Arabidopsis thaliana: one gene and its partner. The protein of the gene in region 2 interacts with the protein of the main gene of each other region in a pairwise test. Each region holds a gene or a part of one and is shown on either strand. Other genes may lie near its edges. The genes, in order: AT3G01890 and SWI3C.

Region 1 (4,842 bases), on a different chromosome or scaffold from region 2:
CAAACCGGTGGGCTGAGTCTTATGATAAAACCTGCTGCAGAGTTTTGAAAAAGGTGAATCCGTTCAAGTTTCCGGTTTTCCAAGCCGGCCCAAGGGTTTGTCTTGGGGAAGAGATGGCGTACGTGCAGATGAAGTATATTGTGGCTTCCATACTTGACCGGTTTGAGATTGAACCGATCCCTACGGATAAACCGGATTTTGTGCCAATGCTCACGGCTCACATGGCTGGTGGGATGCAAGTCCGCGTTCATCGGAGAGATCCTTCTCTTTCCCCTTGAATATACAAACAAAGTCAATTATCATGGCTTTTTATTTTATGTAAAACGTCTCTATGATCATTCATACCCAAAATTATTTTCTCCTTTGGGTAAACAACTCAACTTTTTTTTTTTTTTTTTCAATCCAAGTCATAAAGTCTCTACTAAATTTTTGAGTTTTGAAGAAAATTCAACCAATATTAGCTCAGTTATTATATTTTTGTTTGAAAATGACCCATTTTGCATTTGTTATCATCTTGGGATGATGACTATATTAAAAGTTCAACGTGAGAGCACAATGCCTTGGTCTTTTTCTATCCATAATAATACGTACGTTATTATTATTCTACAAGACTAGATCGAGCCAATTGGAAGTCAGTACGTGGAATCTACAAAAGAAAGTGAAAAAGTCAAGTATTTATCTTTCTTATATTTTGTCGCATATGATGCACGAGCTACAAACCAAAGTAAAAACTCTTGAAACTTGAGTAACAATGTTTCACTTAGAAAAAAAACCTATAAGGAACGACACTGATCAAGTGTCCTGGACCTAAGTGACTTCTAGGTAAAAGTAGTGAACTCATGAACTTCTTGGCCCATCTGCATCTTACCCGCCTGCTGGCTTCCGGTTCAAGTAACGTATTGCAGCATCCTCCACCCTGCAAGAGAATTCTCAGTGATTGTAAGACAAGTGATGAAAAGCAGAACAGTAGAGATTATTACCATGGCTGATTGAAGAACTCTGATCGGCCTTCTTTCTCAGCGTTTCGACTTGCTTCTCCTGCAACAAGCTTCAGATCTTTGGTCTGAGATTCCATCAAGGCATTGGTGAATTCCACCGGTGACTGGCTAAACCCTAAGAAAAACGCCCGTCTCCTTCTGTGCTCGTGGATTTTCCTTATGGCTCCGCATATGGCTTCATCACATGCCTCAATCTCTTTGTTCTTCTCTGGATTAGCGAGCAGATTGGAAAGCTCCGTTTGGACCGGTGCTGGTATGTCCACAAGCACATCGTAACATGCTGAGATGGCTGGATTGTTCCCCGAAAGCTTGATCTTGTGTACAAGCTGAATGGGAGGCGGAGGTGATAGGTGCTGAGATATCTTATGAGAGAGCATAGTGAATTTCATCTTCTCTTCCCCAAAAACACTGTGGAGAGCAGCATCACAGTTGAAGAAAGAAGGGTCGTTTGGGTTTTGCAGTTTCCTGACTTTCACGTAATGCCAGATTGCCGCAATGATTCTTGGGCGAGTGTCAACCTCAATGCCCAAAACTTGCATCAAAGCAGGAGAAGTCTTGAACTTCTCAGGGACGTAATTCATCTCCAACAGTATAGTAGCTGCAAACTCCTGACACCCTATCCTCTTTATCTCAAACCCTTCCAGAGGAGCAGGCGATCGATCCCTTTTCCATTCGATCAGATGGTTCTCAGGATACAGGCTCTGGTCCAGGGATATCTTTAACGTTTTGAAGAAAGACGAGAACTTGGGATAAAGTGGGTTTGAATTCTGAACTAATCCACCAGTGTGGTCAGGATCCAGGACCCTGCCGAAAATCCTAAGAGTCCATGTGGGAGGGTCAGGACCAGGGATCTGGTTGGAAAAGGTGTTGAAAACGTAGATCCTAAGGGTCTTCTGAATGGAAGGAGGGTTCTTAAGGGAGTCTTGGATGTCAACTTTCTTTCTGAAGAGAGCGGCATCAACCCGAGACTCAAACTCAAGAAGCTGTGTGTAGAGAGCAGACTCGGGCAAGACGGCAGCAACGCGCTCCTGCAAGGAGGACTTGTCTGGAAGCTTATGTTTCTTTTTCCTGGAAGCTGGAGTCAACTCCATACTAGGAGGAACAGCAGGAGGTCCTCCAATGGGAGGTTTATGTGGGAACCTTCTTCCAGGAGCACTAATCCCTTGGTCTTGAGAGAGCTGAAACTGAGGTTGAAAGTTAGGAGGGGCCATGTGGGAGGGAGCAAACGATGCAGAGGCCATTCCAAATGGCCAAGGCAGAGAGCTTTGAGGCCCTTTTAGTGCGTTCAACTCGTTATTCCCAGACATTGCTGATCACAAAAAATTGAATACAATCCCAAATTGGTGTCGACAGTAGTTACTCAGTAATTTTGGCTAGAAGAACCTCATCAAAATCACAACACACACACTCTATCGAATTTTGCCCTTTCTAAGCCGAACGTAACCCTAATTTAGTGCTGCGCGAGGATAGAGCCCTAATCAATTTCCCCCCAAATCTAAATAGTAAGATATAGGACACAACTTCTTCTTCTTCAATACAGCAGAAAGCGTATAATCTCAACTCCAGGAGAAAGAAAACAAATTCAATTCCCTCTGGAAGAAGAAGATGAAGATGATTCTTCTTCGAAAAAAAAAAAAAAAAAAAGACACGGCGGACCTATCAATGCCCACCTGAATTCTTCAACCGGGTCAAAACCCAACCATTAGTTAAAGGCCCAACGGCCATGGTTCGTGGGTCCATATTTAGATGGATCAATATTGCTTCTCGGCAATAAATCTAATTCCATGACTATAGGTAAAAAATCAAATTAAATCTAATCCAAATTATTTTTAAAAAAACTCTTAATAATCTACACCAATTTATTTCCAGATAAATACTATTTTTTAACTCTAAAACTAAGATCATGACAACCTTTTTTTTTCCCAAATAACTCTAAAATTTTTAATTAGCACATCTACATCTTAATTCTTAACAGATTCTATAGTATTATTGTTACTAATTAGAAATTACAATGATTATTTTCGACAAATGTAAACCTTATTGATATATAACATAATGCAATAATTCACAATAAAACACTAAGAATATTGTTCATCACCGGTCCAAGTCACCTTAACTTTGGGACCAGTTGGACCATCTTGACCCCGCATTTCTAAAGGAATTTTGTTGATGAGTTTTCGCAAACCTTTCCGTAAAAAGATGGGCAAAATCTTTGCGACAGAGTTGAGAAATATGTCAATCCTGTAATGGACTCGAGGTCCCCATTTCCTAAAATAATTCAGCCACGGTGGCTCAACCACGCCAGGTCCCGCAATCACTTCATATCCAATACCTGCGTCAAAGCATTTGTCGCTTCTTGCCATGTCGTTCCTTATTCCACTTTTGCCGCCACCTTGCAACACGACTCCAGGTTTGGAGAACATTGCATGCCCATGAAGAGACGAATATACTACTGGTTTGTTTCCACCTTGCATGAACTCTAGATCGCATGCATCCACTAAAGTTCCTCCACTGTGTTCAGAAAAGTAAACACGCCATAACTCACCATTGAAGTTGCTGATGCGTAATGTAACGTGTTCCCAGTCTCCAACATGCTCGCCAATATTTCCTAGCGACAGGCTCTTGATAAACAAAAATTTTAAATGTGCATTTCCGTTATAGGGAAAGAATAGCCATACTACAATATCTGTGAAAGTAGCTCCAAACATTGGTTTGATGTGTAGATACACCTTAGTGCTCTCTAAATCTCCCCTCTTAACCTTTTCTCTAGCCTTTTTATCGACTAGATAATCTAACCAAAACAAGTCATCATTGCAACCTCCTTGTGGAAGGTTTGAACCATTTGGATGTATCGGGACCGGGATGGATTCGTTTCCTTTCTTGTGTAGCAAGGCACCGTTAGCGAAAACCCAATTGACAGAGGAAGGAAGGAAATCTTCTTTTGGGTGTAAATATATCCAAGGAGAATACGTTTTAAACAAAACTCTAGTTTGATTTTCGCTTGGCATGCTTGACAAGTCAAATTTTGTATTTTTTAAGCAGAATAAAGGAGGGGGATGAGGAAGAAAGTTTAGTTGTTTGCAGCTGAATGTCCCTGTGAACACACCTGTCGCCTCTACTCCTCTCGTGGCCGGTCTCAAACTAGAAATAGTCATATCTTTTATCCTCCATACCCATGTATCGGCTTCACTCTGTTCTGTGAGATCAGATCGAACACAGCTTATAGAATTTTGTCCCAAAGAGGGCTTCATAGGAGAAGTAGTGACATATAGACCAACCGCATGATATCCATTAGGACATAGGGGCTGCCAAAAATATGCAGGCCCCTCTTGTTTGATAAGCAATGTTGTAGTGTTTCCAACTTCAGTGTAGTCGACTGGTGGTCTTAAATTACTTCCCGATACGTCTTTTGCAACAAGAATCCAACCAAAAAGCTGTCGGTTGTTAGGTTGTGCATAGAAGCCAAGTTTGAAGAAATTACGAGGAATAGTAGTTGGTTCAAAGATGCTGACTCCCATGTTATCCGGCCCTCCTTCATAAGTTCTCCACACTCTGTGTGATGTTGAGTTTGAGATAGAGATTTGAGTAACCTCAAGACCTCCCATATCAATGCTTCTTTTGCCAAAATTTCCACCATCGGAAGGCATACTAGGCAAAGGACTAGGAAATTTAAAGCTTGTTTCCACCGGTAAACCATTAGACGAAAGATAAGGATATTTGAATGGATACCCTAAAGAATTTACGTAGGAAATGTTGGTCAAAGGGTTAGTTCCAGTTTCTGCCCATGACAATTGCTTAACAAATAGAAAAACAAAAAACAATAGAAATTTTAAGTAGGTTTCAT
Region 2 (6,739 bases):
CGACTCCAACTGTTCAGCATCTCCGACTCCATATTTCCGATCTTCTTCTCCTCGTGCCGGTGGCTCATTGCCTCGGTGTTTTTTTCCCAAGTCATTATTTGGGTTGAAAAAGAGTAAGAGCGGCGATTTAAAAAAGACCGGTCAGCAGGAACCATCATCAACAACATCGGAGTCTGACAATTTCTATGAATCGGGAACAACGCTTTCTCCGTCGGAAGAAGATTCTAGCCAGGGATCGCCGGTATCTTCGAGGTGGAGTTCGCCGAAATCGTCCTTCTCTTCTCGCCGTGGTTCGCCGCTAAAACGGACTGATTCGGATTTAAGCTCTTATGAGAAAAAAACCATGTTAATGATAGCTCGTTCCCGCCTTGGTTAAATGGTTAGGCTTAAAAAAAAAAAAACATCTTAGAGATTAATCAAATAAAAATGATTTTGAGTTTTTCATTGCGACAAGAACGAATATGTTACATGTAGATTTGTAATGAAATTGTCTATATATTATCGTCAAAATGAATCGAGTTAAAAGACCCCTAATGTTTGAAGAGTAGAGAAATGGTTGTGGGAAAGAGAGACATTAAGATTGGTGACTGTTTTAATTCACAATGATGATGATGATGGTTTGATACTACAAGACACTAACTTGGAACAAGACTACGGTCTCAAAGCCAAATAACTTATCTTTAAAAATAACAAGGTGAAATAAATATGGATACTGATAAGCTAAATAAGCTAGAGAAAGATGGATCTTAGTTTAAGCCTAAGCCGGACCCTGAGCCTGAACCTGTGGAAGACCTAACCATCGGGTGACTAAACGAAGGCTGGTTGATCGATGCTGCTCCAGCTGCTGCAGGGTTATTTAGTTGGTTGTTGCCAAACATGACGTTTGGTGAAGCTGTTGATCCTGCATTGGTCTGTATTGCATTGAGAGGTAATCTCGGGCCAAACGAGAAAGCTTGCTGTTGTTGTTGTTGTTGTTGTTGTTGTTGTTGTTGTTGTCGTGCCATGAAATGCATCTGTGCTTGAACTTGCGGGTTGTTGCTGAATCCTGGGATTATGCTTGGTTGAGAAGTTGCGGAAGCTTGTTGTTGCTGATGTTGCTGATGCATGAGAGAATTGATGTTGTTACCACCTGTGGATAGAGACATGCCTTGGAGATTATTAGTCTGTGGAGAGATTCCTCCAGGAGATCCAAATCTTGCTGAGAGCATACGAGCCCGTTCTGCAGAAAATCTCTGACGGGTTTTCTCTACTTGTTCGCATTCTTTCATCAACAGTGTTTCAATTTCTGCGAACTGCTTTAATTTCAGCTCCATCCTCTTCAGCTGCGGTTTTTACTCAGATCAGCAATAAACACTATACAACAAAATAAATCAACTACCTACAGTAATTCTCATCAGCAACTGGTTCTGCTATTTTACCTGGTGATTAACGATATTAGCAGAAAGTCTCTGGATTTCGCGTTCCTCATGATCAGCAAACAATTTTGCTTTTGTTGCTGCAGCTGATAGACCGGCTCTAAATGCTGCCATAACCTTATCCTGTGGCAGTGGAGTCTGCGCTTCTGCTCCGTTTTGGCTTGATGTTTTGTGTGCTCCTGAGTTTTTTTTACAATTAAAGCATGTTGGTGTCGCAGATTAGGTTAAAACAAAAGAGCAAAGAATCACTGTAAAGAGAACAATCAAATAACTTCCTTACCATCTTGCTGTTGATTTTCTCCATCAAGCAAGCTGGCTTCTTTCCCTTGCATTCCCTCAGATTTCATCCTAGATCAAGAAGTTTCAGAATAGTCCATAGTATTATTAAACTGAATCACACTACAGAGAATTTATATTGGATAGAGACTATATAATACACTAACCTATCGTCCTCAGATAAAACCGAGAGGGATTCATGGGCACAGGACGCAGCAACTCGAGGTCCAACAGCTGATGCCAAAAATGCAACCTAAAATATTTTGGTATCAGGATCCTCATATCTCCAAACTTATGTGCAATACAGGACCATTCTCCACTCAAAATATGCATACAATTGAGCTCTCAGATATAATCGATTCATGGATCAGAGATATCTCTAACTGGTGAGATCATAAGGATAATAAGAAGCGCATATGAAATCTGCATCGGAAAAAAGTTCACAAACCAATGCCATAACCGGATTCGGAGACTTCACAAATGGAAGCTTGATCTCAGTGTCAGAACCTTGCTCGGAATATCCTGCAGACGCAAGCGGACAATTAGTATGGCATGTCAAAGGAAATAACTATGGAAAGTAATTCATTGCTACAAATTGAATAAAACAAAATCACCAGGTAAATCCCCATTTGAATCTGTTCCTTTGTGGTCATATCCATTTGTAGGGTTTTCCGTATTAGTTACACCAGAAACCTCAACATTATCTAATAGACCATCCTCCACAGGTAATCGAAGAAAATGAAGAATGCATTGAGCTTTTGACTTGGAACCAACATGATCAGCAATTTGAACCCAATTTTCATTGTAGAGTTCCACAGCTTCAAGAAGCAAGAGAGTTTCCTGATCAGTCCAATTGTCTCCATCTTGATCGCCATAAAATTTCATTGGATCCACTCTTACAAAGTCAAGACAAGAATGTCCAACAACAAATCTTCCATGGTGAAAACAATCACAGCATAAGAGTATATCCCCCTGTAAAGTAGAGATGAAGATCCTTTAGTTAGAAGCGGTCCAGTATCCGAGACAGTAAGCAAGATAAAGCTTGGAGTCTATTACATCACTGGGTGCAAAAAAGAATCAGATAATGATACACAAAGAACAGTACGTAAGGGGAAGCAGCCTAAGAACCTTCTTTTGCGATTGGAAGTACACAGTTGGAAGCGGTCGAGAACAATGGTTGCAATGACTATCACATAGGTGTTCACGAATTCTGATGTCCAAGTCAGGGCTGTCACCATCCAAACTTGGCAAGGATGAATAGACTTCACCCCCCTTGTGTCTACAGTTGGGCTTGTCAAATTTGATCAAACTATCAATAGATGTTAAAGCAGCAGACGGCACATTGACCTCGCCATTTGTGTCCTCCCTCACATCCGATACATCTCTCAAAGGGCCAGGATGTGACTGGGCAGTGGCACAGTAATTGATTATTCCCCAGTGATCAAGAAAACGGAAAACTCGTGCAAAATCTTCAATGTCAACACCATCTACCAATCCTTGGCAATCAGAAATCGTCAGTGTCTTTTCAGGGTTCTCTACATATTTGGAAACAATGGCGTTCCTGAATTCCATATAACTTTCGGGTGTATGATTTGGCGATTTCCCAGAGAAAAACTGTGGCACCACTTGCCTTTCAAGTCGATCTACTGTGTTTGGTGCAAACCAATCTGCTCAAATGTAACAGCAAAAGTAGAAGAATAAATTCGAGCATTGGGAACAAAAATATCAGAAAATAAAAATAAAATAAGAGGAGAATCTCGATATATTTGAGCCATAGGACTCCAGGAACAAAACCCAAACGAATTAGAAGAACATCACTTGCATAGTCTATTCAAGTTGTACTTCTGAGATAAGACACCTAAGGCTACTTCAAGCCAGCAGGTACTCTAATTTATCATGTACAAAAGTTATAATACCTCTTCCTTTCCATCAGACAGAACATGGGAACATAGAGAAACATCTGATATGAAATTGAGTCGCGTTCAGATTAATGTAAACTAAGAACCAGGCACTAGACAAAAGGAAGATAAGAACTTATACGTTAAGGAGATACCGGCATACAAACCTGTTTTGACTAATTCTCATTCCAATCACAAGATATATACTACAATACTACCAACCAGCAAAAGCTGATGCTGCATAAAGCCTAACCTCTAACATAAATGCGCGTATCAAGAGGAAGAAAAAACACACCTGAATGCATAGGCAAGACATGAACCAGATCCCCAAACCGTTTAACAACTCCTTCTCCATCCATAATAGGTGGTGGAGAGATAACATAAGCCGAAGACGATCCATCACTCCTCTCAAGATCAAGAGAATCAGCAGGTACAGTAGATAACGCTTGCAATTGCCCAAACGAAATGTTCTCCAGAGCTGGAAGTGAACCTTGCCCTCTAGTCTCCCCTATCAAACCAGCTCTCTCAGCCGCCACAACAGCCATTACAGACGCGTGTGGCCGGATCACAACACGCTTAACCACTGCCGGGAAATCAGAGATGCGCGAACCAGAATCTTCAACTACCTCGCCAATACCAAGTCCCGGATCGGGAGTTGCGCCGCCGTTTTGCTGAAGCTCATCGGCATTTTCAACGTCATCCATTTCTTCGTTGTTGTTGTTGTTATTCTCTTCGTCTTCTTCCTCCATATCTTCCTCCTCTTGTTTCGGTTTCCTCGCCGCCGATAACCCCCCTCTCTTCTTCCTTTTCCATTTCCCTCTTCTATCTGCGACAGAATTGTAAAAAGTGTAATTCAATTCACACGAATTCTCGAAATACCCATCACTACGATCTATGTGGGTAAGTCAAATCCCAATTTAAATTTGGATTTTGAGAGAGATAAAGATGTGAAACAGCAATTTACCTTCAGAAGCTGGCATTTTTGTGGATGAAGATAGAGAAATAGAGGTTTTGGGTTCTGTGGAATCGAAGCAAGACCCTTAGTAAAAAGAATTGCTTTCTTTGTCTTCTCTCCTCCGAGTCGTTCTGATTTCCAGCTCTCGAGCTAAACACCAAACCTTTTTCTCGCAATTTCTTTCACCATTTCCTTCATTAATCTCTATATATTAATTCATTCTCCACGACGACCTAACCTTCTCGACAAACAAGAGGGTTCTGATTTCGAAATTCAAGCTTCGTTGACCAATCCAAATTTTGGTTTAACTTCGGTTAAAGTCAACTTTACTTCGGTTTTATTTTTCAATTTTGAATGAGAAAAACCGAATCAATTATTTAGTTCGGTTCTTAAAGTTCAAATTGGTTAAACCGGTTTAAATTGATACATTAGTCGACCGTCGCGCATTAATACTGGTGTGGTGGTTCCGTTAACGAGCAACGGCGATGAAGAGACCTCGACCTACATCTCAGCCGTCGATCTCTTCCACCGTCAAACCACCACTGTCTCCGCCGGTCACACCGATTCTCAAACAGAAGCTACACAGAACAGGAACACCTAAATGGTTCCCGTTAAAACTAACCCACACGGAGCTGACGTTGCCGTTAACTTTTCCGACGGGTCAAACATTCCGGTGGAAGAAAACTGGAGCGATTCAGTATAGCGGAACGATTGGGCCTCACTTAGTCTCTCTTAGACAACGTCCAGGAGACGACGCAGTTTCCTACTGCGTCCATTGTAGCACAAGCCCTAAATCCGCGGAGCTTGCGTTGCTCGATTTTCTCAATGCTGAGATCTCGTTAGCTGAGCTATGGTCTGATTTCTCGAAAAAAGATCCTCGTTTCGGAGAGCTAGCGAGACATCTCCGTGGCGCTCGTGTGTTGAGGCAGGATCCGCTCGAGTGCTTGATACAGTTTTTGTGCTCATCGAACAATAACATTGCGAGGATTACGAAGATGGTGGATTTTGTTTCGTCTTTAGGGTTACATTTGGGTGACATTGATGGATTTGAGTTTCATCAGTTCCCATCATTGGATCGATTATCTAGGGTTTCTGAGGAAGAGTTTAGAAAGGCTGGTTTTGGTTACAGGTGATTTCATCACTCTCTAATGGTTGCATTATGTTGAATTAGACATTTAGGCTAAAACTTTGCTTGAAGCTTATACTTTTATTTACTCTGTGGCTATACATTCATAGAATTGAAGCTAATGTTTGGTCTAAGCTAGATAATCATTGTGTGGCCGTTTCTCTGATTGGTTCTGATCTCATTTGAAAACTCTCATTCTGGTTTATCTTGTGGTGAGCAGAGCCAAATACATAACAGGTACAGTGAATGCTTTGCAAGCAAAGCCAGGTGGTGGTAATGAATGGCTTCTTTCTCTGCGCAAAGTCGAACTCCAAGAGGCAGTTGCTGCGCTGTGTACATTACCTGGTGTTGGTCCGAAGGTAGCAGCTTGCATAGCTCTGTTTTCTCTTGATCAGCATAGTGCTATTCCGGTTGACACACATGTCTGGCAGGTAACAAAGTCCATCGGTTTCTATGTATTGTACTTACTTAATTGAGATCCAATTACATAATGGTGATGATGACTTCGGGCAACTTTTTTTTTGTTCTGTTTTGGATAATGGATCAGATCGCAACAAATTATCTACTGCCAGACCTTGCTGGTGCAAAACTGACACCTAAACTCCATGGCCGAGTTGCAGAAGCCTTTGTGAGTAAATATGGTGAATATGCTGGTTGGGCTCAAACATTGCTTTTCATTGCCGAGTTACCTGCACAAAAAACTCTCTTGCAATCGTTTTCCCAGCCCATTAACAAACTGGATGAGTCTGCAGAAGTTAATGAAACTAGCTGTGATACGTTGAAGCCATGACTATGTGTCTACCTAAGCTACGAGGAATCGTTTTCACAACCCATTCTTGATGCGTCAAGTCCAGAAACTTGACCTTGGAAGAGCTAAGAAAATTCTGAAGCTGATGCAGTATTTGGCTCCCTGGCAAATGAGCGTAGTTATTTGTTATGATCATTGTTTACTAAGGAACCAATCTTGATATGTACTTGTAACTTTACATTCAAACTTCCAAATTAAATTCTAATTGTTTGTTCCCTTTGCAATTCTCTTGATTTGAAATGAGAATTTTTTCCTTTTATC

The links.
Region 1: the proteins of SWI3C (region 2) and AT3G01890 interact in a two-hybrid assay, tested with the Arabidopsis thaliana proteins (one study listed by BioGRID).

Annotation. Positions count from the first base shown.
Region 1 is NC_003074.8:307,795-312,636, reverse strand, and holds AT3G01890 (SWIB/MDM2 domain superfamily protein), read right to left. Parts: upstream 2,631-4,842; 5' UTR 2,306-2,630; coding exon 981-2,305; intron 917-980; coding exon 865-916; 3' UTR 564-864; downstream 1-563. Other genes in the region: CYP94B2 (cytochrome P450, family 94, subfamily B, polypeptide 2), read left to right, coding at 1-278; AT3G01880 (vacuolar sorting-associated protein (DUF946)), read right to left, coding at 3,077-4,842.
Region 2 is NC_003070.9:7,619,410-7,626,148, forward strand, and holds SWI3C (SWITCH/sucrose nonfermenting 3C), read right to left. Parts: upstream 4,758-6,739; 5' UTR 4,570-4,757; coding exon 4,554-4,569; intron 4,416-4,553; coding exon 3,885-4,415; intron 3,359-3,884; coding exon 2,820-3,358; intron 2,664-2,819; coding exon 2,306-2,663; intron 2,214-2,305; coding exon 2,140-2,213; intron 1,945-2,139; coding exon 1,859-1,944; intron 1,764-1,858; coding exon 1,696-1,763; intron 1,595-1,695; coding exon 1,419-1,594; intron 1,323-1,418; coding exon 747-1,322; 3' UTR 592-746; downstream 1-591. Other genes in the region: AT1G21695 (hydroxyproline-rich glycoprotein family protein), read left to right, coding at 1-376; OGG1 (8-oxoguanine-DNA glycosylase 1), read left to right, coding at 5,030-5,673, 5,891-6,101, 6,218-6,460. UniProt on the Arabidopsis thaliana protein: Component of a multiprotein complex equivalent of the SWI/SNF complex, an ATP-dependent chromatin-remodeling complex, which is required for the positive and negative regulation of gene expression of a large number of genes.